Anolis sagrei: one gene and its partner. The protein of the gene in region 1 binds, or shares a complex with, the protein of each later gene. Links are inferred from orthologs where the notes say so. Each region holds a gene or a part of one and is shown in the gene's direction. Other genes may lie near its edges. The genes, in order: BDP1 and BRF2.

What was found.
Region 2: BDP1 (region 1) and BRF2 share a complex: the UniProt entries of both Homo sapiens proteins name them as parts of the TFIIIB complex. The link is inferred for Anolis sagrei from reciprocal best matches to the Homo sapiens genes BDP1 and BRF2.

The regions. Positions count from the first base shown.
Region 1 is NC_090022.1:261,796,420-261,812,533, forward strand, and holds the start of BDP1 (transcription factor TFIIIB component B'' homolog), read left to right. Parts: upstream 1-8,703; 5' UTR 8,704-8,880; coding exon 8,881-9,071; intron 9,072-13,858; coding exon 13,859-14,405; intron 14,406-16,114. Other genes in the region: SERF1B (small EDRK-rich factor 1), read right to left, coding at 1,100-1,106. UniProt on the Homo sapiens protein: General activator of RNA polymerase III transcription. Requires for transcription from all three types of polymerase III promoters. Requires for transcription of genes with internal promoter elements and with promoter elements upstream of the initiation site.
Region 2 is NC_090027.1:11,046,716-11,062,593, forward strand, and holds BRF2 (transcription factor IIIB 50 kDa subunit), read left to right. Parts: upstream 1-8,842; 5' UTR 8,843-9,054; coding exon 9,055-9,208; intron 9,209-10,346; coding exon 10,347-10,406; intron 10,407-11,288; coding exon 11,289-11,610; intron 11,611-13,696; coding exon 13,697-14,423; 3' UTR 14,424-14,566; downstream 14,567-15,878. UniProt on the Homo sapiens protein: General activator of RNA polymerase III transcription. Factor exclusively required for RNA polymerase III transcription of genes with promoter elements upstream of the initiation sites.

The DNA.
Region 1 (16,114 bases):
GCTGTGGACTCATCTGGTGTTTCAAATAATAATAGGGAATCCACACTGTATAACTAATGATGTTTGGCACCACTTTGACTGAAATTAACAAAATCAATTCAGGAAGCCTTTTAAAGAATGATGTTTAAAAAATCAAGTGACGTGTGCTTTATGGATTTTAAATAGATTTTTAAAGCCTTTTAAACCAGTAAAGGTGGTCCAGTGGTGATTGGTACACTGGGTGCAATGCCTAAAGACCCTGGCCTGCACTTAAACACAATCAGCGCTGACAAAATTACCAGCTGCCAGCTGCAGAAGGCCACCTTACTGGGATCTGCACACATTATTCGCCGATACATCACACATTCCTAGACACCTGGGAAGTGTCCTACGTGGGATCCAATTCAACAGCCAGCAGAGTGCCTGCTGTGGACTCATCTTGTGTTTCAAATAATAATAGTAGGGAATCCACACTGTATAACTAATGACGTTTGGCACCGCTTTGACTGAAATTAACAAAATCAATTCTGCAAGCCTTTATATTTTAAAAATCAAGTGAGGTGGTGTTTTATGTATTTTAAATAAGTAAGGTAAATAAATAAATAAATAAATAAAATAGATTTTTAAAGCCTTTAAACTATTGATTTTTAAGAGTCCTGGGTTTAATTCTATTTTAGTGTTTACAACAGGCCTGAAGGGGAAAAGGATGGGACCTGAGGCTGTTAGGAATGGGAGTTGAAGTCCAAAACACCTAGAGGGCCCAGTTTGCCCACATAAGCGGCTGAAGGGGAAAAGCAAGGGACTGAGACTGTTAGGAATGGTGGGAGTTGGAAGTCCAAAGCACCTGGAGGGCCCAGTTTGCCCAGGCCTGGTGCAGATACACCCACAGAAAGGGCTGCCATTGTATCCGCGGCCTCTCCCTCAAACTCCCACTTTCCGAGGCGAGAGTCCGGCCCAGCGGCGCCTCCCTCTGGCCAAGAGCCACCGCCAGGCACTAGGCCTCGACTACTACCACCACCATTGCTAAAGGAGGAGTCCAGAGCCGAAAGGATACTGACAAAACCCTCGCGAGCGCTGACGTAGCGGGAGAGGGAGAAAGAGGGGAAAGGCCTCTACTTACGGGCCATGGCAAAACAATAACCCCAGCGACGACAACCGTCACGCGAGAGCTCCGACTTCCCACTAACCGCTCCAACTGCCAGAATCTTCTGCGTGCCCCGCCCGCCGCGCGCCGCCTTTATATAAGGGTCCGCCTTTGTGACGTCACCCCGCACACGACGTCACTTTTTTTGCCCAGAGCCACGCTTTTCTTGACAGGCTGTATTTGGTCGGGGTTCTGTTCTGCGCGTGCGCACTTGCTCTGTTTTCCTTTCGCCCTTCCCTCCTCCCCTTTCAGCGTGTCTATATCTGACTGTCTATGTGGCAACACAGAGCAGAGGAAACAAAGCCTCTAGTCTACGCTGCAAAATTGATACATTTTGACAGCACTTTTTAACTGCCAAGGCATCTCAAGTGCTGGAGGGTCTTAAGCCTTCTCTGCCAAATAGTGTTGGTGGCTCAACAAACCCATGTTACAAATATCCAAGGAAGGGACCTGAGGCTGTTAGGAATTGTGGGAGTTGAAGTCCAAAGCACCTGGAGGGCCCAGTTTGCCCAGGCCTGGTGTAGATACACCCACAGAAAGGGCAGCCATTGTATCCGCGGCCTCTTCCTCAAACTCCCACTTTCCGAGGCATTAATTCTACAGTGTAGATAGGTTTTTTTTAATCGTGTCAGGAGCGACCTGAGAAACTGCAAGTCGCTTCTGGTGTAAGAGAATTGGCCGTCTGCAAGGACGTTGCCCAGGGGACGCCCAGATGATTTTGATGTTTTATCATCCTTGTGGGAGGCTTCTCTTATGTCCCCGCATAAGGAGCTGGAGCTAATAGAGGGAGCTCATCTGCCTCTCCCCGGATTCGAACCTGTGACCTGTCGGTCTTCAGTCCTGCTAGCACAGGGGTTTAACCCACTGCGCCACTGGGCGCTCTTAGTGTAGATAGGTAAAGGTAAAGGTTTTCCCCTGACATTAAGTCCAGCCGTGTCTGACTCTGGGGTGTGGTGCTCATCCTCATTTCTAAGCCGAAGAGCCGGCATTGTCCATAGACACCTCCAAAGTCATGTGGCCAGGATAACTGCATGGAGCGCCGTTACCTTCCCATCGCAGCGGTACCTATTGATCTACTCACATTTGCATGTTTTCGAACTGCTAGGTTGGCAGAAGCTGGGGCTAACAGTGGGAGCTCATGCCGCTCCCCGGATTCAAACCTGTCACCTTTCGGTCAACAAGTTCAGCAGCTCAGTGCTTTAATCCACTACACCACGGGGGCCCTCGGATTAAGCTCCTTATGGACTTTCCGCAAACATGGTGGAATTATTTCGGAAATCTTAGCATTTAAACAAACATGGTTCTTGCGATAAATAAATAAAGGCTTGGCCAAAAATAAACATGGAAAGCAAATATGTAATAGTCTGAGCCTTGAAAGCTTGAAAACGCATTATGCAGTTGAACTAAACAAATACGAAGGGCCTGCTGATAAGTCTTTGGCTTTGTGTTCTTTTTTTTTTATGGTAACGAATGTTACATCATATGAAAACCTTATGTGTCTAATATGTTGTTGTTGTTCATTTGTTCAGTTGCTTCCGATACTTCGTGATCTTATGGACCAGCAGACACCAGAACTCCTTGTCGGCCGTCACCACCCCCAGCTCCTTCAAGGTCAAGCCAGTCACTTCAAGGATCCCATCCATCCATCTTGCACTTGGTCAGCCCCTCTTCCTTTTTCCTTCCATTTTCTCCAGCATCATTGTCTTCTCTAAGCTTTTCTTTCTTCTCATGATGTGGCCAAAGTACTTCTTCTTGGCCTCTACTATCCTTCCCTCCAATGAGCAGTCGGGCTTTATTTCCTGAAGCATGGACTGGTTGGATCATCTCGCTGTCCAAGGCACTCTCAGGACTTTCCTCCAGCACCACAGTTTAAACGCATCTATCTTCCTTTGCTTAGCCTTCCCTATCGTCCAGCTCTCACATCCGTAGGTGACTATGGGGAATACCATTGCTTTAACTATGCGGATCTTCATTGCTAGTGTGATGTCTCTACTCTTCAATGTATCGTTGTGGGTGGGCACAACAGCTAAACGTCATGTCAAACTGTTCCACAATTTAGATGCAACCAAGTTGTACTTAACAAATAACATTCTTAATTCTTTCAGTTACATATATGTATTGAAGAAGTGCACCCTAAAATTATCCATGGGCTACCTCAAATCATACAAATTTATATCCAGGAGAGAATCTTCTATGAGGTGCCATCAACCCACATGCGGATGAAAGCTTGATGTACTTGGAGAAAACTGCCAGATGTGTCAAGCCAACAACAGCAATTAAGTAGGAAAAAATAATAAGGAACCAGTGTAATCTGTGAGCTACTCCGAACGAATCCAGCCTTAAAGCCAAGCAGGGATTATCTAGGAACTAGAAGCAACCTCATTTTATTCCATCCAAAGCTTTATTTACATGTAGGGTGAGGGTTGACCATTCATTTGTTAATGGAAAAGTTAATTCAGTAGTACAAACACTAACGTTTTAATTGTTTTCATTTGGTAAATTATTGTTACCTAATTTGTCAGTTAAAGAATTAATGTTGGGCCTTGTCCAATTTACAGAGAAGGCCTGGAGGCTGTCATTTGGGGATTGCATTCATTCTAGTTCCTTATGATGCTTCTTCAAAGACCTTTTTTGTCTTTTTAAAGTTGTCTTTAACTCTGGAAATTTTCCCCACGTGGACTACAAGGACCGTAACAGTATTATTGTCTGGGAATGGTGGGAATTTAGGGCCCCAACCTGAATGTGGGAGTTGAAGTCCAAAACACCTGGAGGGCCAAAGTTTGCCCATGCCTGGTGTATAGTTACATAATGCATTCAAGTTGTCCAAAGCCATGGGATCTCATTTTACAACCTCTTTAATTCCAATTATCACTTAATGACACTTCTTTTTTGCTTTTTACTCTCATTAAGTGAACACCTCATTTCTTAATGTGACTTGTTTGTCAGAGGTTAATACAGTGTGATTTATTTCAGTTACAGGGCATCGATTCACTGTATGTACAGCAAAAAGCGTATAGCTACAAAATTGTCTAGTGAATCAACATTGGAGATTTTTGTAGATGACTTTTCAGAAAGTCATATTCAGAAATTGTCTCTGAAAATATTTCCCAGCACAGATGAATAATTTTTCACTACCATTGTCCCAGTCAAGATGTGTGGGCTGAGAAGGTCAGTGGAAGAATGCAGGCTTTGCATATAGGAGCCAAGAATCCCAGCGGTAATCTGTCGCATTTGTAGTTTTAATGATCAGATGTCTAACAAGTCCTCTCTTCTTTGCAACCATTTTGTACAATTTTAATTGTATAATTAAATTGGCTAGGTGAAAAAGGAGGAAGATGGATGAGTGAGTAGGTAAGAAGAATAGGAATGTAGGAGGAGGGAGAAACTAAGGGTGCATCTACACTGTAGAATTAATGGTTTGACACGACTTTAACTGCAGTAGCTCAGTGTTACAGTAGCTCAGTGTTGGCATAAAAGGCTAAAGACCTTGTTTAACTATAACTTATTCGAAGTTATAGTTTAACAAGGTCTTTAGCCTTTTATGCCAAAGACCGCTGGTGCTTCACCAAACTACAACTCCCACAAGACGATAGCATCAAACTGGGCAGTTAAAGTGGTGTCAAACTGCATTAATTCAATGCAAAGTATGAATCTCTTATTATTTTTAACCTAATGCAGGTATTATTTCACTAGGCTGGCATGCATAGTAGTTTTACACATATATTAAAAGATTTGCTTCTGAATAGGGTTATAATTTAGGGGGGCACATAACTTACTTTGGGAGTGTATATCCTCAGTTCTTCATTCATTGTTATCTAACCTGGTATTACTGCTTTGGATTGGGATATATATATATGCGCCCTGCATATACAGAAAGGTTTGATTTGCATGATAGAAAATGTTATCTTTGGATGTAAGGTGTATCATTTGGGAACACATGGCTCACAGTTTGTTTGGGGATAATAAGCCTAGTTCCTTATTTGTGATTGCCAAATCAGACCAACACACATTAATGCCCATTTTCAGAGAAGAATATATTGAGCACAAACAATTGTTTTCCCCTTCAAACTGTATCCTCTCTCCCTGAATCAAGGCAACATATAATATGGGGTTGCTGAAAGCATAATTTGTGGTGTGGGGGTTCATCTTATGTCCTAACGGTTGAATGACTGAGCTGTGTTTCAATTTTTTTCACAAATAAGAAACTAGGAGTAAGCCACAAATTCTAGCTTTGTACAATACACAAAGGTGAGTGTGGAACTGTCAATAGGGAGTTCTAAGGAAAATTAAATGAAGACATGTAACTGAGAGGGAGAATATTCAGAGCTCAGAAAATTTCAGTTGCTTGGTACTATAACTCCCAGAGTCCTCCACCAGCACAGATAGGTACAAGACATGTGTATGGATGAATTCTGGAGGTTGGAGTTTAATAAGTACACTGGTTATGCTATTCTGGGAGCTGCTTGATAAGATAAGCATCCTACCACCAGATAAACCAGTTAAACATGTAATGTTATATCTGTCACAATATTACAACAGCAATCATGTTTTGGTGACTGATAATAGGGCTCATTATTTAGGATAGGAAGGGGTTAATAATTTTAGATATTGTTATTATGCAACCTTTTTGCAAAAGTCACCAAGGTGGAATACATCCTTTGAAAAACAATTAAAAATATTAAGATGTAACTACTAAAACTTAAAATAAAAACATTTTTTAAAGTCACAATTCTAATTTCAAAGGCAACACATTCCACAATTCCTATTGAAACAAGGCAGAGGAGAAACATTCAAATCAATGCTGGAGAGGATATCAAGTATTAGGCTCATACATCCATATGTGGTGGACATGTCAATTTATACAAAAAATTGGAAAATAGACCTCTACCTCTGAGGATGCTTGCCATAGATGCAGGCGAAACGTCAGGAGAAATGCCTCTAGAACATGGCTCTATAGCCCGAAAAAACCCACAAGAACCTAATTGGAAAATAGTATTTAAGGAAATAAGAATAATAATAAAAATAGAGAAAAGGGTACACCAGAAATAGCATTATTATCATTGTATGATATTATATTCTTACAAGAAATGAAGGAATTAATTTCCAACCTATTCATGGTAGCGAGACTAATGATTACAACAAAATAGAAAGATAAAAATGAAATTCAATTGGAATAATGTTTGGAACATAGCAATTAACAACAGACTGACTTATGACATTAAAGTTAAAAAGGGAATGTGGAAACAAACAAGACTTTTGGAATATCTGGGAGAAGTTTATAGAATTTGTATTTATAGAAGGACAAGGAGACAAACCTGCAACAGAAACAATGAAATTCCGGAGATAAAAAATAAGATAAATTTGTCCTGGTGAAGGTGGCACAAAGAAAAGGGAAAGGAATGGGGGGCAGGGGAGCTAAACATATTCAAGTTATTAGGAAAATTGTATTAGATTTTTAAGTGCAGTATACTTTAGATGGGGAAAGTTTTAAACTAAATTAGGTGCATTTTACTATTATATCTATCATTATTTTATGCTATTATATATAATGATTGTATCTTTGTTGACTTTACTTGTTGACCTTATTAATACATTAAGAAAACTCTGTACTACGATGTACAGGGTTAGTCAAAATGCATAGGCCAATAAGCCATTCAATTGAATGGCTTATTGGCCTATGCATTTTGACTAACCCTGTACTTTCTCAATGCAGATACTGTAATAATAATAATAATAATAACAATAATAATAACAATAATAACAATAACTTTACTTGTAACTTGCCCTATCTCCCTCAGGGGACTAAGGGAGGTTTCCAGCAAAGGTGGCAAACATTCAATGCCAAAAAACAAAGAGCAAATCAGATCAAAAACAATAAATAAAAAGAATATTAACATAAATTTATAATATCCCCTAAAATAACCAAATTAAAAACTAAAATATACATAATGTGACACTTCACACACACTTGATAAAATCTGATGATTAAAAGGCATTAAGAATATAGGGTAATTTACAGCGACCAACAGGGATGAGGTAGATTTCTGATATTTTAAATATATTTCCCTTGCATATGTTTTTTTGTTGGTTACTATATTTGAAATGTTGTTTTCTTGAATAATAATAATAATAATAATAATAATAATGTATTGTTGAAGGCTTTCATAGCCAGAATCACTGGGTTGTTTTAAGTTTTTTGGGCTGTATGGACGTGTTCCAGAAGCATTATCTCCTGACCTTTCACCTGCATCTATAGTAGGTCACCTCACAACTTCCGAGGATGCCTGCCATAGATGCAGGCAAAACGTCAGGAGAGAATGCTTATGAAACATGGTCACACAGCCCAAAAAACTTACAAAAACAACAGAAACAGAAACAAACAAGCCATTCTAAATCCATTATCCCAATGGCTGCATCTACACTGCAGAATGAATGCAGTTTGATACTACTTTAACTAGCAAGGCTATGGAATGCTAGAGCAAATGCTATGGAATTCTGAGAGGTGTAGATGGGTGAGGCAACAACTTTATGTGGCAGAGAAAACTGAAGACTAAGGGACTTTCTACACAACCATATAACCCAGAATATAAAATCCCATATTTTCTGCTTTGAATTAGAATATATGGCTGTGTGGACTCAGATAACCCAGGACCCTTCTACACAGCTATATCATAGAATCACAGAGTTGGAAGAGCCCTCATGGGCCACCCAGTCCAACCCCCTGCCAAGAAGCAGGAAAATTGCATTCAAAACACCCCTGACAGATGGCCATCCAGCCTCTGTTTAAAAACTTCCAAAGAAGGAGCCTCCACCACACTCAGAGAGTTCCATTGCTGAACGGCTCTCACAGTGAGGAAGTTTTTCCTAATGTTCAGATGGAATCTCCTTTCTTGTAGCCATTGTTCTGCATCCTAGTCTCCAGGGCAGCAGAAAACAAGCTTGCTCCCTCCTCCCTATGACTTCCTCTCACACATTTATACACGGCTATCATGTCTCCTCTCAGCCTTCTCTTCTTCAGGCTAAACATGCCCAGCTCTTTAAGCCACTCCTCATAGGGCTTGTTCTCCAGACCCTTGATCATTTTAGTCAGCCTCCTCTGGACACATTCCAGCTTATCAATATCTCTCTTCAATTGTGGTGCCCAGAATTGGACACAATATTCCAGGAGTGGTCTAACCAAGGCAGAATAGAGGGGTAGCATGACTTCCCTGGATCAGAACAGAACATCCCACAATATCTGCCTTGAAATGGAATATATGGCGGTGTGGACTCAGATAGCCCAGTTCAAAGCTGATATTGTGGGATGTTCTGTCTTGATATTCTGGTTCATATGGCTGTGTGGAAGGGCCCTGGGTTATCTGAGGTCGCACGGCCATATATTCCAGTTCAAAGCAGAAAATATGGGATTTTATTCAGCTGTGTGCAAGGGGCACTAAACTACAGCTCCCAGGATTTCCCTTGAAGCCCAAAACACCTGGAGGGCCGAAGTTTGCCCCTGCCTGGAAGAGCACCAGGCACTCCCTGCATTCCAAGGGGCTCTCCTGGAGAGGGAGGGCTATTCTGTCGCAGGCTGATGACGCAGGCGGTGCGACATTCCGGGCTGGCAGCTGACAGGCCTCCTTCCCTCAGCCCTCCGAGGCCCCGGCAGGCAAGCAGGAAGGCAGGAAGGGCTCGGGCCGGGGACATGAGGCGGAGGCCTCGCCGGCCGGAGGAGAAAGGCGACGGCGGGCTTTAGCCAGAGGCCTCAGTGAGGAGCCATGTTCCGCCGGGCCCGCTTCAGCGTGAAGCCCAACGTCAGGCCTAGCACCGCGGCGACAGGGAGAGGCGGCAGGGGCCCAGTTCCTGCCCTAACTGTGGGCCCCGAGCCAGGCGGGGAACAGGGCCCCACAGCCGCCGCAGGAGACACTTCCGGAGGCGCCCAGCAGGGAGGGAACAAAGGTGGAAGCAGGCAAGTGGAGATGACCACCGCAAATATTGCCTTTGGATCAGGATTGGGCAAACTTGGGCCCTCCAGGTGTTTTGGACTCCAACTCCCACAATTCCTAACAGCCTCAGGCCCTTTCCTTTCCCCCCTCAGCCGCTTAAGGGGGGAAAGGAAGGGGCCTGAGGCTGTTAGGAATTGTGGGAGTTGGAGTCCAAAACACCTGGAGGGCCCAAGTTTGCCCATGCCTGCCTTATAGGCAGGAAATAAGTACAGAGCCAGTAGGCAATTACTTTGAGAGCACTTTGAGGGTTAGTTTAGCACAGTTTTAGAGTATGTTTTCTGGTAATAATACAATAATATAATAATAATACCTTCTTTGTATTCCACCCTATCACCCCGAAGGGACTCAGGGCGTATTCCAGCATAGACAAACACAAAGGCAAACACTCAATGCCTAGGAGCCCCCAATGGCGCAGTGGGTTAAACCCAGGACTGCTGACTGACAGGTCAGTGGTTTGAATCCAGTGGGAGTGGGTTGAGCTCCGTCTGTCATCTCCAGCTCCGCATGCAGGGGCATGAGAGAAGCCTCCCACAGGGCTGGTAAAAAACACCAAACATCCAGGCATCCCCTGGGCAACATCCTTGTAGACGGCCAATTCTCTCACACCAGAAGCGAATGTCAGTTTCTCAAGTCGTGCCTGACACACACACACAAATGCCTAGAAACAACGAAACACATATAAAGGTAAAGGCTTTCCCTTCCAGCTCTGAGGAGTGGTGCTCATCTTGGGCTCTGTGTGGTGGTTCTAATCTCCATTTCTAAGCCGAAGAGTCGGCGTTGTCCGTAGACACTTAGGTCATTCGGCTGGCGTGACTGCCTGGAGTGCCATTACTCCCCCCCCCCCCCCCCCCGAGGCGGTACCTATTGATCTACTCATATTTGTATTTTTTCAAACTGCTAGGTTGGCAGAAGTTGGGGCTAACAGCAGGAGCTCACTCCGTCCCGTAGATTCGAACCACCAACCTTCCGGTCGGCAAGTTTAGTAGCTCAGCACTTTAACCTGTTGTGCCACCATGGCCCTACTCTTCCACTCCTCCACATATCACAGGGTAATTTCCAAAAGGAAAAGGCATTAAAAATGGTAAATCAGCAACAGCAGTTTAGCAGATCAGAAGCTTCTTGTGCAGAGCAGTAGAGTGAATGAGCTTCAGCAATACAGGAACATGGTCAAGCTTTAAAAGTTACAAAATACTTTATTGAAGTAACAACATTTCTCTATAGGAAAGTTAAGAGCCCAGCTGTCAAACTCTGTGGATACATCTTGTCTCTCTCCATGCTCACAGGAAAAGAACAAAAACGGGAGGACTCGGGGACTTGCCATGTGCTTGATACTTTGAATAAAAAGAGACGTCCATGAGAAGCATCAGCTTAACACAGGCACAGACAAACTTGGGCCCTCCAGATGTTTTGGACTTCAACTCCCACAATTGAGAATTGAAATCCAAAACACCTGGAGGGCCCAAGTTTTCCCGGGTCTGGTGTAGATGCACCCTCAGCCTTCTTCCCACAGAATCATTAGGGAGACATCCGGCAGGGATGTCATAAGTGTGGTAGCATCAATAGTAGATAAGTTTTGCCTTTGGGTGTAACTACCCTTTGTCTCATCTTATTCTACCATATTGTAGAAAGAATGCATCTTGACACCATGTTTGCTACCATGGCTCCATGCCATGGAATCTTGGGAGGTGTAGTTTTTCAAGGTCTTTAGCCTTCCTTGCCAAAGAGTAGAGGTGCCTCACCAAATGACAACTCCCACAATTACATAGCTGATCCATTCACTGGTCCATTTCAGTTAAAGTGTCAAACTGCATTGTTTCTATAGTGTCGATACACCCATAGACACACCCAGCAGGGCAGTCATAAGGGTGGTTCAGCTATATAGGTAAGTTTCACCTTTGAACAAAGCTACTCTTTTGCACTTCTATTTCGTCTTCCCGCAAAGCCATTGATGATTTTAAGTTTAGTTCTTTCAGAAAAATCCCAGAGCACAAAAGTTTGGGATTTATATTTGAACTTGTGGGAATGATTCATACCTGCATCCCCTGTAGTGGGAGCCCTGCATGTGTGAAAGAAGCATTGAGAGTGGGAGTTCCTTATTCCCTGGAAGGGAATGGTTTGTGTATCTAGTTAGTAGTGATGTATTTGTGTGTGAGTAGCAACTATATACCTTTTGCTGTTGTTTTTTTTTTAACTTTCTGCAGTCCCCAATTTAACCAGCATGGCTTTGAACCATATTCATAGTTAAGGTTGAAGATCTAGTGATTCTGGTTGTTGATGATGGAGATGAAACAATTGACATTGTTATATTCAGCTTTAGTTGTGCTTTGAATATCTTGCTTTGTCCTGTATGTTTATGGAAATAGTGTGCTTCCTTTGGTTAGATGTGATGAGAAGGAGAAAGAATAAGAAAGAAAACACTGTTAGTGGGTCTCTTAGATCTGATGATGGTATGGGTATAATCCAGTTATACATCAGATTTTACCTATATAGCTGAACCACCCTTATGATTGCCCTGCTGGGTGTGTCTATGGGTGTATCGACACTATAGAAACAATGCAGTTTGACACTTTAATTGAAATGGATCAGTGAATGCTATGTAATTGTGGGAATTGCCATTTGGTGAGGCACCTCCACTCTTTGGCAGGGAAGGCTAAAGACCTTGTAAAACTACACCTCCCAAGATTCCATGGCATGGAGCCATGCTAGCGAAAGTGGTGTCAAGATGCATTCATTCTACAACATAGTAGAATAAGATGAGACAAAAGGCAAAACTTACCTACTATTGATGCCACCACAGTTATACAAAAACCTTGAATGCTAGATTATATCTCATAGAAATAGAGGGTTGGAAGGTATGCCAGGGATCACCTAGTCCAAAACCTCCAGGTGCAGAAAGTCATAATAAAATATTGCTGAGAGGTGTCTGTCTAATCTCTGTTAAAACAAAACCTATAATGAAGGACAGTTGAGCAACTGCTGACATAGTCTTCAGCCAGCTATTGGATGATTGTAACCATCAGGAGAGTCCTCTTAATGCTTAGCTGGTCTCCCTTCTTATACTGTCGTTTCAGCTTATTCATTTGGGTCATGTTCTCCTATGCAGCAAAAAAGACGTTTGTTGCTTCTTTCATGTGACAGCCTTTCATGTATTTGAAGATAACTATCATGATGCCTTGGTTATTGTGTCCTAGTTGTACATAGTGTTAAAAGTACACACGTCATAAACGTGTGCTGTGCTGTTTAGTTGTATGAATATATTGCAAGCATTTGACCATAAACTGCGTACAAAGGTACGTCTGCTAACTGAAATAATTTAGCATGCTTTGTAGTGTTGACACATGCAGTAGGGTCACATTTTGCCAAGATCTGGATTATTAGATTTCCATTTTCAGATTGCAGTTTTTTCAGCCACTGAAAGTGCATACACACTGAATCGCCTTGTCCGCAATATTATATTGTTGCTGTTAATTGCTATCAAGCTAATTTCAACTAATTACATCCTTATTAATGAGAAATATCTAGATCATCCTATCTCAGATAGCCCTGCTCTGCTCTTACAGATTTAGATCTGTGGGTGCCATGATTGGGTAAATCCATCTGTAATGTGGTCTTCTCCCTTTCCTTCTAATGTTATCATTATAATATGGTTTCAAGGCATTTCAGATTAATGGTGTTCCTAAATTGACCCTATCATGGACTTTTTCTAGATGAGATTCGTTCAGAGATGTTTTTCCTTCAACTGAGAGAAGGTGACTTGGCCTAGGTCATCACTGGGTTTTCATGGCTGAACAAGGATTTAAACCCCGGTCTCTAATATTTTAGCCTGACACAAACCACTATACCACACTGACTCGCTTTCTACCTTACCAATCATGATTGTCTTTTCTAGTCAGTCATATATTCTCATGATATTTTCAGTGTATAACAGTCATCTTGACTTCTGGGGAGTGTTGAGGCTTTATTTGCTCTAGGACTAATTTATTCGTCTTTTTGGTAGTCCATGGTACCGTATCTTTTTTAGCATTTTTAGTATTTTTAGCAATCCACAGTATCCATGGAACTCTTCTCCAGAATCACATTTCAAATGAGTTGATTTTCTTCCTATCAGCTTTCTTCACTTTCCAGTTTCTACAACCATACATATAAATTGGAACTCTGATGGTGTGGACAACCCTAACTTTAATAATATATCTTGACAATTCGGGATCTTGTCTGATTTGTTTGTAGCTTCCCTTGTTGTCTTCTGCTTTTTCCATCTCATACATAGTTGATGTAATAATTCCAGATAAGTATAGTCAGTGAAAAAGTTATTAATTATTCAGTTCCTTTACTGAAGTCACCAGTTTGATTTGTTTTTTCTGTTGCATCACCACATCATAGTAACGTAGTTTTTTTCCTGCCTGCTAATCATTTCATAGAAGATCTAAATACGAATTTAGTGAATATGCTGGTATTTATTATGTTTTGTTCCCAAGGGTATTGTAGCAGTATATTCAATATAGTCAATAACTAATTGGTAGATTGTTAACAGTGAACTGTATGGACGTAAGCATCTGAAACGGATATTGTCCTATATTCAGTCAAATGGAAAATGTTAGTTTATTTGTTGGATAAATTGTTATGTTTTTTTTAAAAGGCAGATCTAATATTGCATGATTCAGTTCATAAGTTCATTCATTTCTTTTTAAAACAGCTATACAATTTTCTTAAAAATACTCATAACAGATGTCATTCTTTTTGAATTTTGCAGAGATGAAAAAACCAATCAAGATGGAGATTGTAGTAAACGTGCAGAGGCCCTTCTCCAGAGAAGAAAACGATTTTCAACTGTGCCCAATCTTGCTAAACCAAGAGTTACATCCACATCTACTCAAGGTTCTGTCAATCTGGCATCAAAACATTCTACAAAACAATTACCTCATTCTTCTACTCTTGGTAGCTCTGTGCTTCATAAGGAGACTTCTGAAAGGGTTAATGTGGAAATTTCACCAAAGTCTCCAACTTTGCCTGAAAAGAAAACACCTGTTCCTCAAGTACCACAGTTCTCTCCTTTAAAAAAATCTTCCAGTAAAGAACCAAATACTTGTCCATCTGTCCAAAGAAGTGATGAAGCACTTCAGAAGAGTGCACTCTCGCCTCTCAAGGAGAGACCCACACAGGAAAAATTAATTCAAGATGAAACTGTCCATTCAAAATCTGGTCCAGAAAAAGATAAAAATAGGTGTTCAGAACGTGAGAAAATAATAAAAAGTCAGACGCTGCGAAAGATGCTCAAGGAAGAGTTGAAGAAAGAAAAGGTATATAATATTTTTGTGACAGTGCTATAAGGACAATGTGGGAGGGAACAGAAAGAGCTTATGGCCAGACTTAAGTTAGATCCTTGGCCCATTTAGGTCATATTGTCTTTAAAAAGTTCATTAGGATTTCGGACAGGAGATTTTCCACATCTTACCTGGAAATGGCAGGGATTGTATCTTTTTTATTGTAATGAGGTATGGTGGATCTGTAAGAGGGTATAGCTTCTTTTTATGGTAATATAATGGTGCATTACAGAATCTACTTTGCTGAAGGCTTTTAGTTTATAAAGGTAAAAATTTGGCAGCATCAAATGCTGTGTCAGTCTACAGCTTTAACGTTTTTACATCAAATATCCACCAGTATGTATATCTGAATCTAAAAGTGACCACAGATAAATGTTTCAGTTATCTGTAGTGGATTGGCAAATATTTTGTATTCCTAATTTAACAACAGGAGAGACAAAATATGCTATTCCCTCAACTTATTGCTGAAGTGAAGCTAACTTCGGATAATCAAGGTTTGATTTATATGTGGAAGTACTTCAGACTCTGCTCATTTATGGTACTGATTTTTAAATGTATCTATGATTGTTTGATTTATTTTTTTAAATAATTTTTTATTGTTTTATCACATTTATTACATACTATTACATTTTGTACATCAACCTCTTTAACATGTTATTTTGTTGTTTTGCTCTGACATTTCCACCCCTTTTCTCTTTTTTTTCCCCCCTTTTTCACCACAGTGCTCCCCTCCACCCGTCTCAAGCCACCATTCTTACATTTCATCTGTCCAAAATTTCATTTCTTCTTGTGACGGTAATTTTCCTTCCTTATTTTTTAATCCATTTACCACAAATCTTCCCCATACAGCATCAAAATCGCTTTGTTTCCATATACCTTTTTTAACCTTTAATATACATGTCAATTTATCATTTATTGCTATTTTCCATGCTTCTTTATACCACTCCTCTATTTGTATATTCATTTCTTTTTTCCAATTCCTTGTTATAAGCAGTCTTGCTATAGTTAGTAAGTTTGTTATCGCTTCTTTATCCTCCTTTTTCAATTGCTTATCTTTATATATTGATAGTAAGGCTATACTAGGGCTTTTATCTAATTCTATATTCATTATAGTTTCTATTTCTCTAAATACTTTCTCCCAAAAATTATTTACATATTTACATTGCCACCACATGTGTATATATGTTCCTGGTTCTTGACACCCTCTCCAACAATTTGTTGAGTTATTTTTATTCATATGTGCTATTCTTACCGGTGTCAAGTACCACTTCCATATTAACTTGTAATAGTTTTCTTTAACTCGTATCGATAAATTTTTTAGATGTCTTTGTCCCCATAATTGTTGCCACTCTATTTCACTTATTTTTATCCCTAAATCCTCCTCCCAAATCTCTTTAAGGGTGTACTTTTTTGTTTTTTCATCTTTCATTTCAATTAATATCTTATAAATTTTGCTAATTATACCTCTCAAGTTTTCGTGTTCTTCTACAGTCCTTCCCTTCTGTATTATTTATTCGAATTGATTGAGTTGGCTTCCACTTCTATTAATTTTTTTCCAGTTTATTAACCATTGTTCTAATTGTATACAATGAAACCATGACAATTTTATTTCTTTAAACTCTTCCAACATCATTTCCCTCTTCATTTCCACCTTCATCCAATCCCCTATCCTATCTAAGTTTATT
Region 2 (15,878 bases), on another chromosome or scaffold:
TTTGCCTGTTATAAACAGAGAAAAATGAATATAAACAATATATTAATTAGGGGGAAAATTAGACTGGATAAAACATTTTCTCATACGGAGCTTGTCTCAAATCTATATAAATAAAAATGTAATGTTAGTTTGTGGGATTAACAGAACTCAAAAACCACTGGACGAATTGACACCAAATTTGGACACAAGACACCTAACAACCCAATGTATGTCCTTTACTAAAAAAAATGATTTTGTCATTTGGGAGTTGTAGTTGCTGGAATTTAAAGTTCACCTACAATCAAAGAACATTCTGAACCCCATCAACGATGGAATTGAACCAAACTTTGCACACAGTTCTCCCATGACCAACAGAAAATACTGGAAGGGTTTGGTGGGCAGTGTCCTTTGGTTTTGGAGTTGTAGTTCACCTACATCCAAACATCATTGTGGACTCAAACAGTGATGGATCTGGACCAAACGCTACAAGAATACTCAATATGCCCAAATGTGAACACTGGTGGAATTTGGGGGAAATAGAATCTTGACATTTGGGAGTCGTAGTTGCTGGGATTTATAGTTCACCTACAATCACAGCATTCTGAACCCCACCAACGATGGAATTGGGCCAAACCTCCCATACAGAATCCCCATGTGGGCCACAGCAACATGTGGCAGGGGGTGGCTAGTACTAAATAAAATTAAAACAAAATATGTTTCAGTGCAGAATTTGTCCAGTTAGTTATCCATCATATGTGCTGTGATTGCTCTCCACAGTGACTTAGAAATTAAGTGTGTGATGCTCATGATGTGGTTGATGTAATAGCTGTTGACATGCCCAATGCCGAACCCTCCCTTAAAGCACATGAGTAGCCTTTTATAGCAAATCAGAGAGCTGTTCCCTTTTAAAAGTTTTAAGCAAATGCTGTGTGAATTCTATGTTACATCAAGAGTTTCTAGGCCAGTGTTTCTCAACCTGGGAGTTGTGAGGGGGTGTCAGAGGGGTCACCAAAGACCACCAGAAGACACAGCATTTTCTGTTGGTCATGTAGGTGCTGTGTGTGAAGTTTGGTCCAATTCTATCATTGGTGGGGTTCAGAATTTTCTTTGATTGCTGGTGAACTATAAATCCCGGCAACTACAACTCCCAAATGTCAAGGTCTATTTCCCCCAAACTCCACCAGTGTTCACCTTTGGGTATATTGGGTATTTGTGCCAAATTTAGTCCAGATCCATCATTGTTTGAGACCACAGTGCTCTCTGGATGTAGGTGAACTACAATTCCAAAACACAAGGTCAATGCCCACCAAAATCTTCCAATTACAATTCACAACAGTAGCAAAATTACAGTTGTAAAATAGCAACAAAGATAATTTTATGGCTGAGGGTCACCACAACATGAGGAACTGGAATAAGGGGTCGCGGCATTAGGAAGGTTGAGAAACACTGCCATAGAGTCATGACTCACAGTACTTTCAAAGATATTAGCTCATCAAAGACTCCGTATTGGAGGCTGGAGAAAATATTCCCTGACATGTTCCTGTCAAAAAGAATGGGTGAAATGTGAAGAGCCCCATTAAGTCAGAAAAAAATGTCCATCTAAACCAGTGTTCCTCAACCTAGGGGTCGGGACCCCGGGAGGGGGGGGTGTCGCGAGGGGGGTCAATTCTATCCTTGGTGAGATTCGGAACCCCTCTTTGATTGTAGGTGAACTATAAATCCCTGCAATAATAACTCTCAAATGTCAAGGTCTATTTCCCCCAAACTCCACCAGTGTTCACATTTGAGCATATTGAGTATCCGTGCCAAGTTTGGTCCAGATCCATCATTGTTTGAGTCCACAGTGCTCTCTGGATGTAGGTGAACTACAACTCCCAAACTCAAGGTCAATGCCCACCAAACCCTTCCAGTACTTCTGTTGGTCATGGGCGTTCTGTGTTCAATTCCAGCTCAGAATGCTCTTTGATTGTAGGTGAATTATAAATCCCAGCAACTACAACTCCCAAATGACAAAATCAATCCCCCCAACCCCACCAATTTTTAAATTTAGGCATATGGGATATTTGTGCCAAATTTGGACCAGTGAATGAAAATACACCTTGCATATCAGATATTTACGTTACAGTTCTTAACAGTTGCAAAATTAAGGGTTATGAAGTAGCAATGAAAATAATTTTATGGTTGGGGGGTCGCCACAACATGAGGAACTATATTAAAGGGCCGTGGCATTAGGAAGGTTGAGAACCACTGTTCTAGGTACATCTACAGCATTCAAAGTGTCTTCACTAAGTAGATATAAAGGGGAGCTGCAGGGAAATGTAGTGGGAATTGTCCGTGTTTACTCTTCCATTCACCATCCCATTATCCTCTTATTGTTATTAATCCCTCATGCACAACCTGGGGATCACAACCAGACACAGTGAATGAAATTACTTACACAGATATAAAATTACTTACCACAAGTAATGTCCCGACCTACAAGAAGCACTGCCTGAATATCAAGCAAAAAGTGGGCACTAGAAATAATATCATACGAAAGCTGACTAGCACAACCTGGGGATCACAACCAGACACAGTGAAGACATCTGCCCTTGCGCTATGCTACTCTGCTGCTGAGTATGCATGCCTAGTGTGGAACACATCTCACCACGCTAAAACAGTGGATGTTGCTCTTTATGAGACATGCTGCATTATCACGGGGTGTCTGTGCCCAACACCACTGGAGAAATTACACTGTATAGCCGGTATCACACCACCTAACATCCGCCGGGAAGTAGCAGCCAATCGTGAAAGGACCAAGGCAGTGACATCTCCAACCCATCCCTTGTTTGGGTATCAGCCAGCACGACTTAAATCAAGAAATAGTTTTCTAAGATCTACAGAGACACTCACTGGAACACCCCAGCAAGCGAGAGTCCAAAAGTGGCAGGCTCAAACCCAGAACCTGATACCAAATGAGAGACTCCCCCCTGGGCACAGAGAAAACTGGACAACTTGGAAGGCGCTGAACAGACTGCACTCTGGCACCACGAGATGCAGAGCCAACCTTAAGAAATGGGGCCACAAAGTGGAATCCACGACATGCGAGTGTGGAGAAGAGCAAACTACAGACCACCTGCTGCAATGCAACCTGAGCCCTGCCACATGCACAAGGGAGGACCTTCTTGCGGCAACACCAGAGGCACTCCAAGTGGCCAGATACTGGTCAAAGGACATTTAATCAACTACCAAGCTTGCAAATTCTGTGTTTTGTCTGTTTGTTTGCATTGTTAAAAATGTCAACCTGCATTATAAGCCTGCTGTGTATGCTGCACCCTCTTTACCCCACCCCTTTTTTCCCCATCAAGATTATGGTATTTATAGCTCTGCAAATACCAAAGCTTGGCTGACACATGCAGGCATTGTAATGATATCATGCTCCATTTCCATCAGAAGGCAAAAATAGTGTAATGATAAACGCTAGGAGATGAGAGCCATTCACTAACACCGTCCCACCCCCAGTGGAATGAATCCGGTGAATTGTAGGATAAAAGCCACAGCTGAAAGAATTGGACCAGAAGCTTCCTAAAGGCTTGGTCTAGAATAAACACAACAAGCAAAATTAACAGCAAGTTGGTGGAGGGAAGAATAATAGAATCAAAGAGTTGGAAGAGACCTCATGGGCCATCCAGTCCAACCCCCTGCCAAGAAGCAGGGATATTGCATTCAAATCACCCCTGACAGATAGCCATCCAGCCTCTGTTTAAAAGCTTCCAAAGAAGGAGCCTCCACCACACTCCGGGGCAGAGAGTTCCACTGCTGAACAGCTCTCACAGTCAGGAAGTTCTTCCTAATGTTCAGATGGAATCTGAACATTAGTAAAGGTAAGAGGTCCAAATCCTCACTGAAATAAACTTGATTGACACATAATAATAATAATAATAATCATCATCATCATCATCATCATAGAATCAAAGAGTTGGAGGAGACCTCGTGGGCCATCCAGTCCAACCCCCTGCCAAGAAGCAGGGATATTGCATTCAAATCACCCCTGACAGATAGCCATCCAGCCTCTGTTTAAAAGCTTCCAAAGAAGGAGCAGAGAGTTCCACTGCTGAACGGCTCTCAGTCAGGAAGTTCTTCCTAATGTTCAGATGGAATCTCCTTTCTTGTAGTTTGAAGCCATTGTTCTGCGTCCTAGTCTCCAGGACAGCAGTAAACAAGCTTGCCCCCCCCCCCTCCCTGTGGCTTCCTCTCACATATGTGTGAAAAAAATATATAGTAACATCCCCTCATCCAAATTGTACCTGGAATCAAGAAAGTGTCCTGCAAGCTTAATTAGAGTCATCCGGCATGGTGCAAAATAAATACATCTCCTATGGCAACAAAGGGACAAAGAAGCAATAGCTGTTTTCCTTTCCAAAAACATAAAAGCCAGATGTTGCTTGCATCTTTCTCTATCGCTGCTTGGAACACTCTTGTAAAACAGAAAGAAAATAGGAAAACATTGTAAACATATTAGCAAAGCTGGAGGAACATAGCGTACCCTTAGACTCCCATCTCCAGCGCCTGTCCTTTGATCTTTCTGTGAATATACCATCGTTGTTACTGGCAATTTTTCTTCATTTTCAAAGTCATAAGGAATAGGAGCTTATTTTGAAACGGGAAAGAAAAACACACCTATTCTTGATGTCCTATTCTCTATTCAGCTCCCAAATTCAGACTTATCAAGATCCATTGTATTACTATTATGGTATATACATTTTCAGCATTATGAGGATATGAAATAGTTGTTGTTGATGATGATAATGATAATAATAATAATAATAAACTTTATTTCTATTCCGTCCTCCTCCCCGAGAGGACTCAGAGCGGATTACAGCATTTACATACATTCAATGCCTTTACAATCATATACAGTGAGACACATAAAGAAAGGTAAAGGCTTCTCCTTTCATTTCCGGCTTCTGGAGACGGTGGTCATCTCTGGCTCTGTGGAGGTGCTTTCTCCATTTTCAAGCCAATTGTCACCTCCTGGTTGTGTGGCCAGCAAGATTGCTTGGAGAGTCTCTTTGCCTTTTTCCGCCGAAGCAGTACCTATTTATCTACTCACATTTACATGTTTTTGTACTGCTAGGTTGGCTGGAGCTGGAGCTGACAGATGGGAACTCACCCCATCTTACGGATTCGAACTGCTGACCTTCAGTTCAGCAGCACAAGGATTTAACCCATTGTGCCGCCCCAAAGGGCTTGGAAATATTTATCCTTACCCTTGTCCTCATTGGTTATATTGAGTAGAATATATGCAGTCAGCACATAAAAAGCAAGCTTCCTTACTTGCCCACAGTCAACATCATGATCATAGAATCATAGAATCAAAGAGTTGGAAGAGACCTCATGGGCCATCCAGTCCAACCCCCTGCCAAGAAGCAGGAATATTGCATTCAAATCACCCCTGACAAATGGCCATCCAGCCTCTGCTTAAAAGCTTCCAAAGAAGGAGCCTCCACCACACTCCGGGGCAGAGAGTTCCACTGCTGAACGGCTCTCACAGTCAGGAAGTTCTTCCTCATGTTCAGATGGAATCTCCTCTCTTGTAGTTTGAAGCCATTGTTCCGCGTCCTAGTCTCCAAGGAAGCAGAAAACAAGCTTCACTCTTATTTTGAGAGACTGTGAGAGTAACTTGCCTAATGCTGAGCAAAGAGCTTTCCAGACATTTCAAGTTGGTGACACTTTTTGAGACACGTATCATTTTGGGACACTGTAATGATGCTGACTCCAAGGATCTCCCAATGCACTGCAACATAAATCAGGTTTAAGCCAATTAATACATTTGTCCAGTGTACAGGTTTATATAAATCAGGCATGGGGAAAGTTCAGCTCTCCAGGTGTTTTGCACTTCAACTCCCACAATTCCTAACATCCCCAGGCCCCTTCCTTTTCCTCCTCAGCCGCTAAAGCCATATAGTTTATAGTACTTGACTGTACTTCATACTAGACTACGAAATTCTTCACTTTTATTGTGACGCCACCTATGTGTAGAACTGCTAGTTGCAAGATTTAAACTGTTGTATCATGCTTAATCCTGCCTTTTACCCTGCTTGAATTGATTGGTTATTTATAGCTGTCAATCAATGTTGTTTGCACCAGTTGAATTGCTTTCTCAAGCTCAATTGTTTGGCTCCACTTCTTCCTGGAGGAGGGGAGTGCTTCCCTTTTTTCATTCTGCCATCAGAATTTCTATCAGATGGACGTGAGTAAGAGACTTGGTTCTAAAAGCCTCTGCTTAAATTACCTTTCAGCACCAATTCTAAGGTTTTTTACCCTTGGGACTCATGCTTTATGTCCAGATCGTCCTGGACAACATTGAGGAGACCAAAGCGCCTTCAAACCGGTTCTTTTGGCACCAGAGGAAGGTCTTGTCCCTTCAACTTAGGCCATTGGACTGGGGTTGTGTTTATTCCGATATTCACAGCCATTGAGAAAAGAGGAAACAGGAAAAGCTTCTCAGCTGCAAACTCCTTGGACTTTATAGATTGTAAAGTATATTTCCTTTATCCCTGTTGAAACATCAAGCTTATGCCTGAGAAAGATAACTCACTGTGAACAATAAATACCATTTTGAGTTATCTGTTGTGTTTTGGTCTTTGGGAGTTCCAGTTTCCTAAAGGAGGGCAAGAAGCAATCCCCTGGGGAAAGATGTCACGTCCATGCCTCTTCCACTAAGAGCTATAGCCCCCAGGGGCAACGGCACATTTATATATAAAGAGACATGATAACCATGCATAATATATGAAATGATGTCACAAGGAAGAGGGAGCAGGCTTGTTTTCTGCTACCCTGGAAACTATGAACCATGGGTTCAAATGACAGGGAAGGAGATTCCGCCTGAACATTAGGAAGAACTTCCTGACTTTAAGAAGAGATGTTCAACAGTGGAACTCTCTGCCTTGGAGTCTGGAAGCTCCTTCCTTGGAAGCTTTCAAACAGAAGCTGGATGGTAATCTGTCAGGTTGCTTTGATTGTGTTTTTCCTGAATAGCAGGGGGTTGGACTAAATGGCCCATTTGGTCTCTTCCAACTCTGTTATTCTGTGTGGGCTGCTGTGAGTTTTCCAGGCTGTATGGCTGTGTCCCAGAAGCATGCTTTCCTGACATTTCACCTGCATCTATGGCAGGCAGCCTCAGAGATGGAGAAGTCTGTTGGAAGCTAAGCAAGTGAGGTTTATATATCTGTGGATTGTTCAGGGTGGGAGAAAAAACTCTTCTCAGTTGGAGGCAAGTGTGAATGTTGCAACTGGCCCCCTGATTAGTATTGAATGGCCTTGCAGCTTCAAAGACTGGCTGTGGAAGGTCCAGGGTGGGAGAAAGAACTCTTATCCGTTGGAGGCAAGTGTGAATGTTGCAATCAGCTACCTTGATTAGCAATGAATGGCCTTGCAGCTTCAAAGCCTGGCTGCTTCTATTATTCTAACTTACTTAGGTGATCCTCATAGTCCGAGGATGATGGTCCTCCAAGTGATGTGTCTTGGCGGTGGATACGTAAGCGACTCTGGAGCCCTATTCCTGACCTGCATGTTCTCCCATAGCGAGGGCACTGCTTTCCAGGTGGAAAGAGGTCATCAAGCCAACCCCAACCGGGACCGCCTTGCACCTGGAAACCGATGTCCTCAGTGCAGGAGAAGATGCAGGTCAAGAATAGGGTGCCATAGTCACCTACGTACCCACCGCCAGTACACTACACTTGGAGGACCATCATTCTCATACTACGAGGAATCGCCTAAGTAAGTATGCTAATAATATAATATATTGCATGTATGTATATTTTGTAAGTCGCTCTAAGTTCCCTTCGGGGTGAGAAGGGTGGCATATAAATTTCACAAACCAACAAACAAACAAATAACATGAGGAAAACTTCCTGACTGTGAGACCTGTTCAGCAGTGGAACTCTCTGCCCCGGAGTGCGGTGGAGGCTCCTTCTTTGGAGGCTTTTAAACAGAGGCTGGATGGCCATCTGTCAGGGGTGATTTGAATGCAATATTCCTGCTTCTTGGCAGGGGGTTGGACTGGATGGCCCATGAGGTCTCTTCCAACTCGAGGATTCTATGATTCTATAAGTCAGTGTTTCTCAACCTTCCTAATGCCATGACCCCCTTAATACGCTTCCTCATGTTATGGTGACCCCCAACCATAAAATTAGTTTCGTTGCTACTTCATAACTCATTTTGCTGCTGTTATGAATGGTAACATATTGGGGAAGGATATTGATTTTGTCCTGGGAGAGTTATAATTGCTGGGATTTATAGTTCACCTACAATCAAAGAGCATTCTGAACTCCACCAACAATGGAACTGAATCAAACTTGGCACACAGAATTCCCATGACCAACAGAAAATACTGGAAGGTTTGGTGGGCACTGACCTTGAGTTTTGGGAGTTGTAGTTTACCTACATCCAGAGAGAACTGTAGACTCAAACAATGATGGATCTGGACCAAACTTGGCACGAATTCTCAGTATATCCAAATGTAAACACCAGTGAAGTTTGGGGGAAATAGACCTTGACATTTGGGAGTTGTAGGTGCTGGGATTTATAGTTCACCTACAATCAAAGAGCATTCGAACCCTACCAAGGATTGAATTGGGCCAAACTTCCCACACAGAACCTCCATGACCAACAGAAAATACTGTGTTTTCTCGTGGTCTTTGGCGACCCCTCTGATACCCCCTCGTGACCCCTCCAGGGGTCTCGACCCCCAGGTTGAGAAACATTGCTAAAAGTAAACAGGTCCAATCCGGAACCTTTGTCCGCTCTTTGTTTCCCTACCGGAAGCATTTTCTAGTCGTTCGCTCCTCAGCTTAGTGAGTGCCCGGTTGTCATGGCGCTTGCTTTTAAAAAGTGGGTCCGACGTGGAAACAGTTCCCCCGCGCGACGACTTCCGGTCTCAGAAGGAAAACAACGGGGCTGCGTAGGAGACGTTGGAAGGTGATTCTTTGAGGCTGGCAGGGAAAGTCCGTCCGCGGCCCTGCTCTGGGGCAGGTTGGGAAAGGCTTGTGCTGTTTCCTGGCTGTTCCCTGCCTCCTTTTCCAGGCTGCAAAGATGGCGGGCCCCAAAAAGTGCCCAGACTGCGGCTCCCTGGACATCGTGGAGGACTCCCACTACGCCCAGAACCAGCTGGTGTGCGCAGACTGTGGCTTCGTTCTCACCGAAGGGCTCCTCACCACCACCTTCGCCGAGGAGCAGCACCTCCAAGGTGAGGCAGGCCGAGAGTGGCCACAACGTTGTGGTTTCCCCTGCCACGCGTTGCTCTGGCCCAATCTATGTATATGTGTTTTGTGTGTGTGTATATGTGTGTGTTTGCATATATATATATATATATATATATATATATATAGTTTTGCACATGCATTGTAATGTATTTTGGATTTTTAAATCGCTTCTGCGGTGTTTTTCAGTGTTTGTATGAATGATGGTCACTCATTGGCCTGATCTTGTATCCAAATTTGGTGTCAATTCGTTCAGTGGTTTTCGAGTTATGTTAGTCCCACAAACAAACACCCCTTTTTTCATTTATATAGATGCTAGCCGTCCCCTGCCACGCGTTGCTGTGGCCCACATGGGGGTTCTGTGTGGGAGGTTTAGCCCAATTCTATCATTGGTGTGGTTCAGAATTCTATCATTGGTGTGGTTCAGAATGCTCTGTGATTGTAGGTGAACTATAAATCCCAGCAACTACAACTTCCAAATGTCAAGATTCTATTTTCCCCAAACTCCACCAGTGTTCACATTTGGGCATATGGAGGATTCGTGTAGAGTTTGGCCCAGATCCATCATTGTTTGAGTCCACAGTGATCTCTAGATGTAGGCGAACTACAACTCCAAAACCAAAGGGCACTGCCCACCAAACCCTTCCAGTATTTTCTGTTGGTCTCTCTTCACTCTGACCCAGAGTGGCAGAAAGTTGTGTGATCAGAATTGAACTGAACAGCAGCTGTGGCAGCATGAGCTGAGGTTTATACTGAAGCCTTTTTGTGCCCAGAATACGAGGGAAAGGAGAAAACTCCACATATCATAGAATTATAGTTGGAAGACTCCATGGACCATCCCAGTCCAACCCCATTCTGCCAAGAAGCAGGAAAATCACATTCAAAGCACCCCCAACAGGTGGCCATCTGGGTGATTTCAATACTCAGTTTTTGAAAGGAAGAAGAAAGAAAAACAAAATAGTAGTTTGAGAAATGAATTTCACACCATTGAGTCTCTGCATCTGACATTTGGGGGATATCCAAACTATGGATGGTTAGGTTGATACCATGGTTCCAATTTGCTCTGAATAAGTATATCTACACTATATCTGTGTATCTGATGTGGTAATTTTTCTTTCTTTTCAGAAGTGACATACTCACGCAGTACTGGTGAGAGCGAGCAGTTGGGCCATTGTCTGCAGAGAGGCAAGTATTTTGCATCTTCCATCAGTACCTTTTGGTGTATTCCAAAAATGAATGTCAGCGCCAGTATGGTGTAGTGGCAGGAGTTTTAAACTTGGACTCTTGGAAACCAGGGTTCAAATCCCTACTCAGCCAGGGAGACCCACATTTGGAGAAAGGGGGGGGGGCAACGGAAGAAAAACCTTATTAGATTACCTTAATGCATTAGCAAGAGAGCCATTGTGGTGTCAGAGTAGCACAATACAGTAATTTGAATGTTGAACCAAAACTCCAGATTAGGTTTCAACTCTCTGCTCAGCCATGGACAAGTCATACTGTTTCAGTCTCAGAAGAAGACACTGACAAATCTCTTCTGATAAGAACATCCTGTATTTGATGTTATCATAAGTGAGTTGATTTGAAGGTACATAGTAAGTAGTAGGTCCTTTTTAACTTGTGGAATTGTGCAATATAATAATTTTATTCAGCCAGCACCTTAAACACTCTGACATGGACACCACCTCAGCCCTGTTGACATGTAAATGCCTTTTTACTTTTAATGTTTTGATTGGTTTCTATTATTAGATCTAGTAGTAAACATGTTCTAAATGTTTGATTTATATATTTAATTTTCTAAGTTTGTTATTTTTGAGTTGTTCTATAAGTACACTTGATGTTGTTTATTTTATATTATATGATTTAATTTGTTTTTTATGTTATGCCGGCATTGAATATTTGCCAATTTTAATCCACCCTGAGTCCCCTCAGGGAGATAGGATGGCATAGAAATAATGTTGTGTATTATTATTGTTGTTGTTATTATTATTATTATTATATCCTTGGAAAACTCTGAGCAGCATGTGAAAAATAAATGCAAATGTGTATTATACGGTGTCTCCCTTACAGGAATCAAACGTGTCCGGGATCTCTGCAAAGTTCTCCATCTTCCTTCTCTGTTTGAAGAAACAGCAGTGAGTTATTACCAACAGGCCATCAAGCGTCCCTGCTTCAGATTGGTCAGCTTGGAGAAGAAGGAGATGATTGTGGGCTGCTGTGTCTTTGTCACCTGCCGGCAACACAACTGGCCCCTGACTATGGGCACAGTCTGCTTGCTACTCTATGCTGATAAAGAATTGTTTGCTGGGGTATACTTGCAGTTTTTGAAGGAAATGTCATTGGATGTTCCTTCTCTGAGCTTGATAGATTTAGTGAAGACACACCTCAACAGGTACGTTATTATCCCTCTTCCCTTTTCCTGATATATGTCTCAAAGTTGGGAATGTTTTTTTGAAATGAACACGTAGTGTGCATTGCTTCCATCATGGAAGAAAGACTCTCTCTGTGTGTGTAATAATATAATAATAATAAAACTTTATTTATACCCCACCACCATCTCCCCAAGAGGACTCAGGGTGGCTTACATGAGGCCAAGCCCACCAACACATCAATAAACAACAAAGCAGCAAGCAAATAAAACAGTACAATTAATATAACTTACATATAAAAAATAACACAGAGAATTTAAAACCTTATGGCCAGGCCAGATGTGTTAAATTAATTTTTTTTAAATAAACACTGGGTGTGAACAGAGGTAGGATGTATCTGAGCAGGAGAGTTTTAAAAGATAATGTAGGGAGAGCAACCCAATGGGTAGTAAAGTGCAGAGAATTAATCAGAGCAGGGCATTGTTTCCTTATTCAGGGAAGGCACACTGGAACAGCCACGTTTTCAGGCTCCTCCTAAAGACTGCCAATGTGGGGGCTTGTCTGATATCCTTGGGGAGTGAGATCCAGAGTCGGGGGGCCACCACAGAGAAGGCCCTCTCTCTCGTCCCCACCAATCGCACCTGCGAAGGGAGTGAGAGCAGGGCCTCTCCACCCAAGAGATCGCATAGGTTCGTACACAGAAATGCGGTCACGCAGTAGGTGGGTCCCAAACCATTCAGGGCTTTGTAGGTAAGAACCTGCACCTTGAATTGGGACCGGAAAATGAACAGCAGCCAATGGAGCTCCTTAAACAGGGGGGTTGACCGCTCCCTGTAAGTCATTCCAGTTAATAACCTGCCTGCTGCCCATTGTATATACATATATACTTTTTTGTAAAGACTGGTGGCTATCTGTTTGATTGCATTTGACAGGGGCATTGGGCCTTCTAACATGGTAGAGAAGGTACAGTTTGAATTCTAAATTATGTGGGAAACTCTTGGATAGATATTTCATCTGCTTTAAAACAATAGAGATGTTAGCTGCTTCAAATACAAAAAGCTCTTGGAAAATCCGACATTGTGATCTAGAAGTTTGAAGGTTGGACACAATGGTTGAGCTTGGGCCCATCACTTTTTCAGGCTATCCTTCCACACCAGGTACTTATTGAGATCAAGTGGAGAGGAGTTGTGTATGGCATTTTATTTATTATGTTAGGATTCTGGGCAAGTGCAATGTGCAGAGAGTCTTAAGCTCTAATAAAGTGCTTCTGGGACGTAGTGCTGGAGGTTATACTATTCAGGAAAGGCACATCGGAATAGCCAGGTCTTCAAGTTCTTCCTAAAGACTGCAACATAGGTGCTAGTCTAATGTCTTTGGGGAGGGTGTTCCAAAGTCGGGGGCAACCACAGAGAAGGCCCTGTCCCTCGTCCCCACCAAACGTGCCTGTGACGCAGGTGGAATCGTGAGCAGGGCCTCTCCGGATGAACGGAGGGAGCGCGTGGCTTTGTATACGGAGATGTGGTCACGCAGGCAGGCAGGTCCCAAACCGTTTAGGGCTTTGTAGGTAAGCACCTGCACCTTGAATTGGGCTCGGTGGGTAAACGGCAGCCAATGGAGCTCCTTAAACAGGAGGGTTGACCTCTCTCTGTAAGGGGCGCCAGTTAACATCCTGGCCACCGCCCGTTGAACCAGTTGGAATTTCCGAGCCGTTTTCAAGGGCAGCCCCACGTAGAGCACATTACAGTAATCCAACCTAGAGGTGACTAAGGCATGGACCACCCTGACCAGATCAGCCTAGACTGCTGATTGACCATAGTAACTGATAGGGTGGCCGTAGCCAGTTATACTCGGCTGTTCTCAGAGAATGGCAATCCCCTCTGAACAAATCTGGCCATGAAATGCCCATTATGTGACTGCTGAAAGTCAGGAATGAAGGCACACAACATCGTTATGTCAAGTGCTTTCCTCTGCTACCCATGTACCAGCTTGCCTTTGCATACTACAAACATGGCCATATTTGCTCAATCACTTTTGCTCTCAGCACCTCCCATCATATGTCTAGACAGAGTAATCCTTGTAAATAGCATGCTTGCTTTCCTTCCTTTCCAGTTTCAAGCTTTTTCAGCAGTCATCAGGCATCCCACCCAAATTTGTTGAAGACAAAGAGCAGCTGGTGGAGAGGACTATTCAGATGGTGGAGCTTGCCAGTGAAACATGGCTGGTGACTGGCCGGCATCCCATCCCCATTGTGATGGCAGCAGCCTTCCTGGCATGGCAGTCTCTGCGACCCGTTGATCGCCTCAGTTGCACTCTTTCTAAGTTCTGCAAACTTGCAGGCACAGATGCGCCCCGGCCAGCTCACCAGAGGCTGAAGGAGCTGCATAACATCCTTCTCCAGATGGCTTCTCATTTGGCCTGGCTGCGAGTGCTCAAGGTGGATCAGAGGACTGTGGCAAAGTATGTTGGTGACCTGCTGCAGCATCGCCGTGTGCTTTTGCAGTCTGCCTTTTCCAGAATGGATAGCACTGATGGCTGTAATATAGAGGGCTCAGAACCAGGGACACCACAGCAGCTTATAAAAGAAAGTTCTGTAATGACAGAAGAGATTTCCCTTCCAGGAGAGGGGCAGAAAGGGGGCAATAAGCGGGCACCTTTGCTCCCACCTTGCATGCTGAATCCCAAGAAGAAGTTGAGGACTCCCGATCTGCGCCCTGAAGACTATGCTATCACCGGGGATGAGGCCATTTCGGATAGCGAGATAGAACAATACATCCGAACGTCAGAAGAAAAGGAGGCATTTAGGGAGGCTCAGGGATCCTTAAATAGACACAAATGATTCTGGGAATGTACAACCAGCAGTCGGCGTTGGTTCATCCTAGAGCTATTTCCTTTTATTTTAGGGGCTCTTGCACCCACATCAAAAAGGGTATGTATGAAACAAAAGAACTTCATATCCCAGTTAATAAAGCCTTTCTTTTGGCCCCCAGCTTTTCTTCTTCGTCCTCTATAATATAATTGTGAAGAAAGGCTGGAGATAAACACAAGTCTTCCTGACTTGTTCGTTACATTTCACATGTAGATATTATTGGTTCTGAATGAAATTAGTTGAAACTCGGAGAATTGTTCTTCTTTTTTGTGATGTTTATTATTTATTTACGACATTTATATTTTGCCCTTCTCACCCCGAAGGGGATTCAGAGCAGCTTACAAGGTATAGATACATAGGTAAAGGTAGTCCCCTGACACTAAGTCCAGTCATGTCTGACTCTGGGGTATGGTGCTCATCTCCATTTCTAAGTCGAAGAGCCAGCGTTGTCCGTAGACACCTCCAAGGTCATGTGGCCAGCATGACTGCATGGAGCGCCGTTACCTTCCCACCGGAGTGGTACCTATTGATCTACTCACATTTGCATGTTTTCGAACTGCTAGGTTGGCAGAAGCTAGGGCTGACAGCGGAAGCTCACGCCGCTCCCCGGAATCGAACCTGCGACCTATCGATCAACAAGCTCAGCAGCTCAGTGCTTTAACCCACTGCGCCACTGGGGACTCCTTATATATACATACAATATATTATATTATTAGCATAGTGCAATATAAGTATTAAATATTACTATATTGTACTATACCATTATTTTGTTGTTCATTCATTCAGTCGTCTCCGACTCTTCGTGACCTCATGGACCAGCCCACGCCAGAGCTCCCTGTCGGCCGTCACCACCCCCAGCTCCTTCAAGGTCAGTCCAGTCATTTCAAGGATGCCATCCATCCATCTTGCCCTTGGTCAGCCCCTCTTCCTTTTACTTCCCAGCATAATTGTCTTCTCTAGGCTTTGCTCTCTCCTCATGATGTGGCCAAAGTACTTCAACTACTATACCATTATATTGTAATATTATTAATAATATTACATGTAATATAAATATATAATTATAATATATTAGTAGTAGTATATTGCCTTACATTATAATATTATAAATATTACATGTATATACATTATATTATATTAATACATTGTAATATATTATAGATTCAGGTTGAATATACCTTATTCAAAATGCTGAGATAAGTATTTTGTATATTTTTAAGATTTTGGACTAACTGTTGCAGCATATATATGATGTTCCTATTCTTTCCACATTGCATTCTGCATTCTCTGTGATGCCCAGGAACACTTTACTACATTAACTGAGATATTATTGTACTAGCTGTGCCTGCCATGCGTTGCTGTGGCCAACCTTCCTCTCTCTCTCTCTCTCTCTCTCTCTCTCTCTCTCTTTTTCTCTCTCTCCTTCCT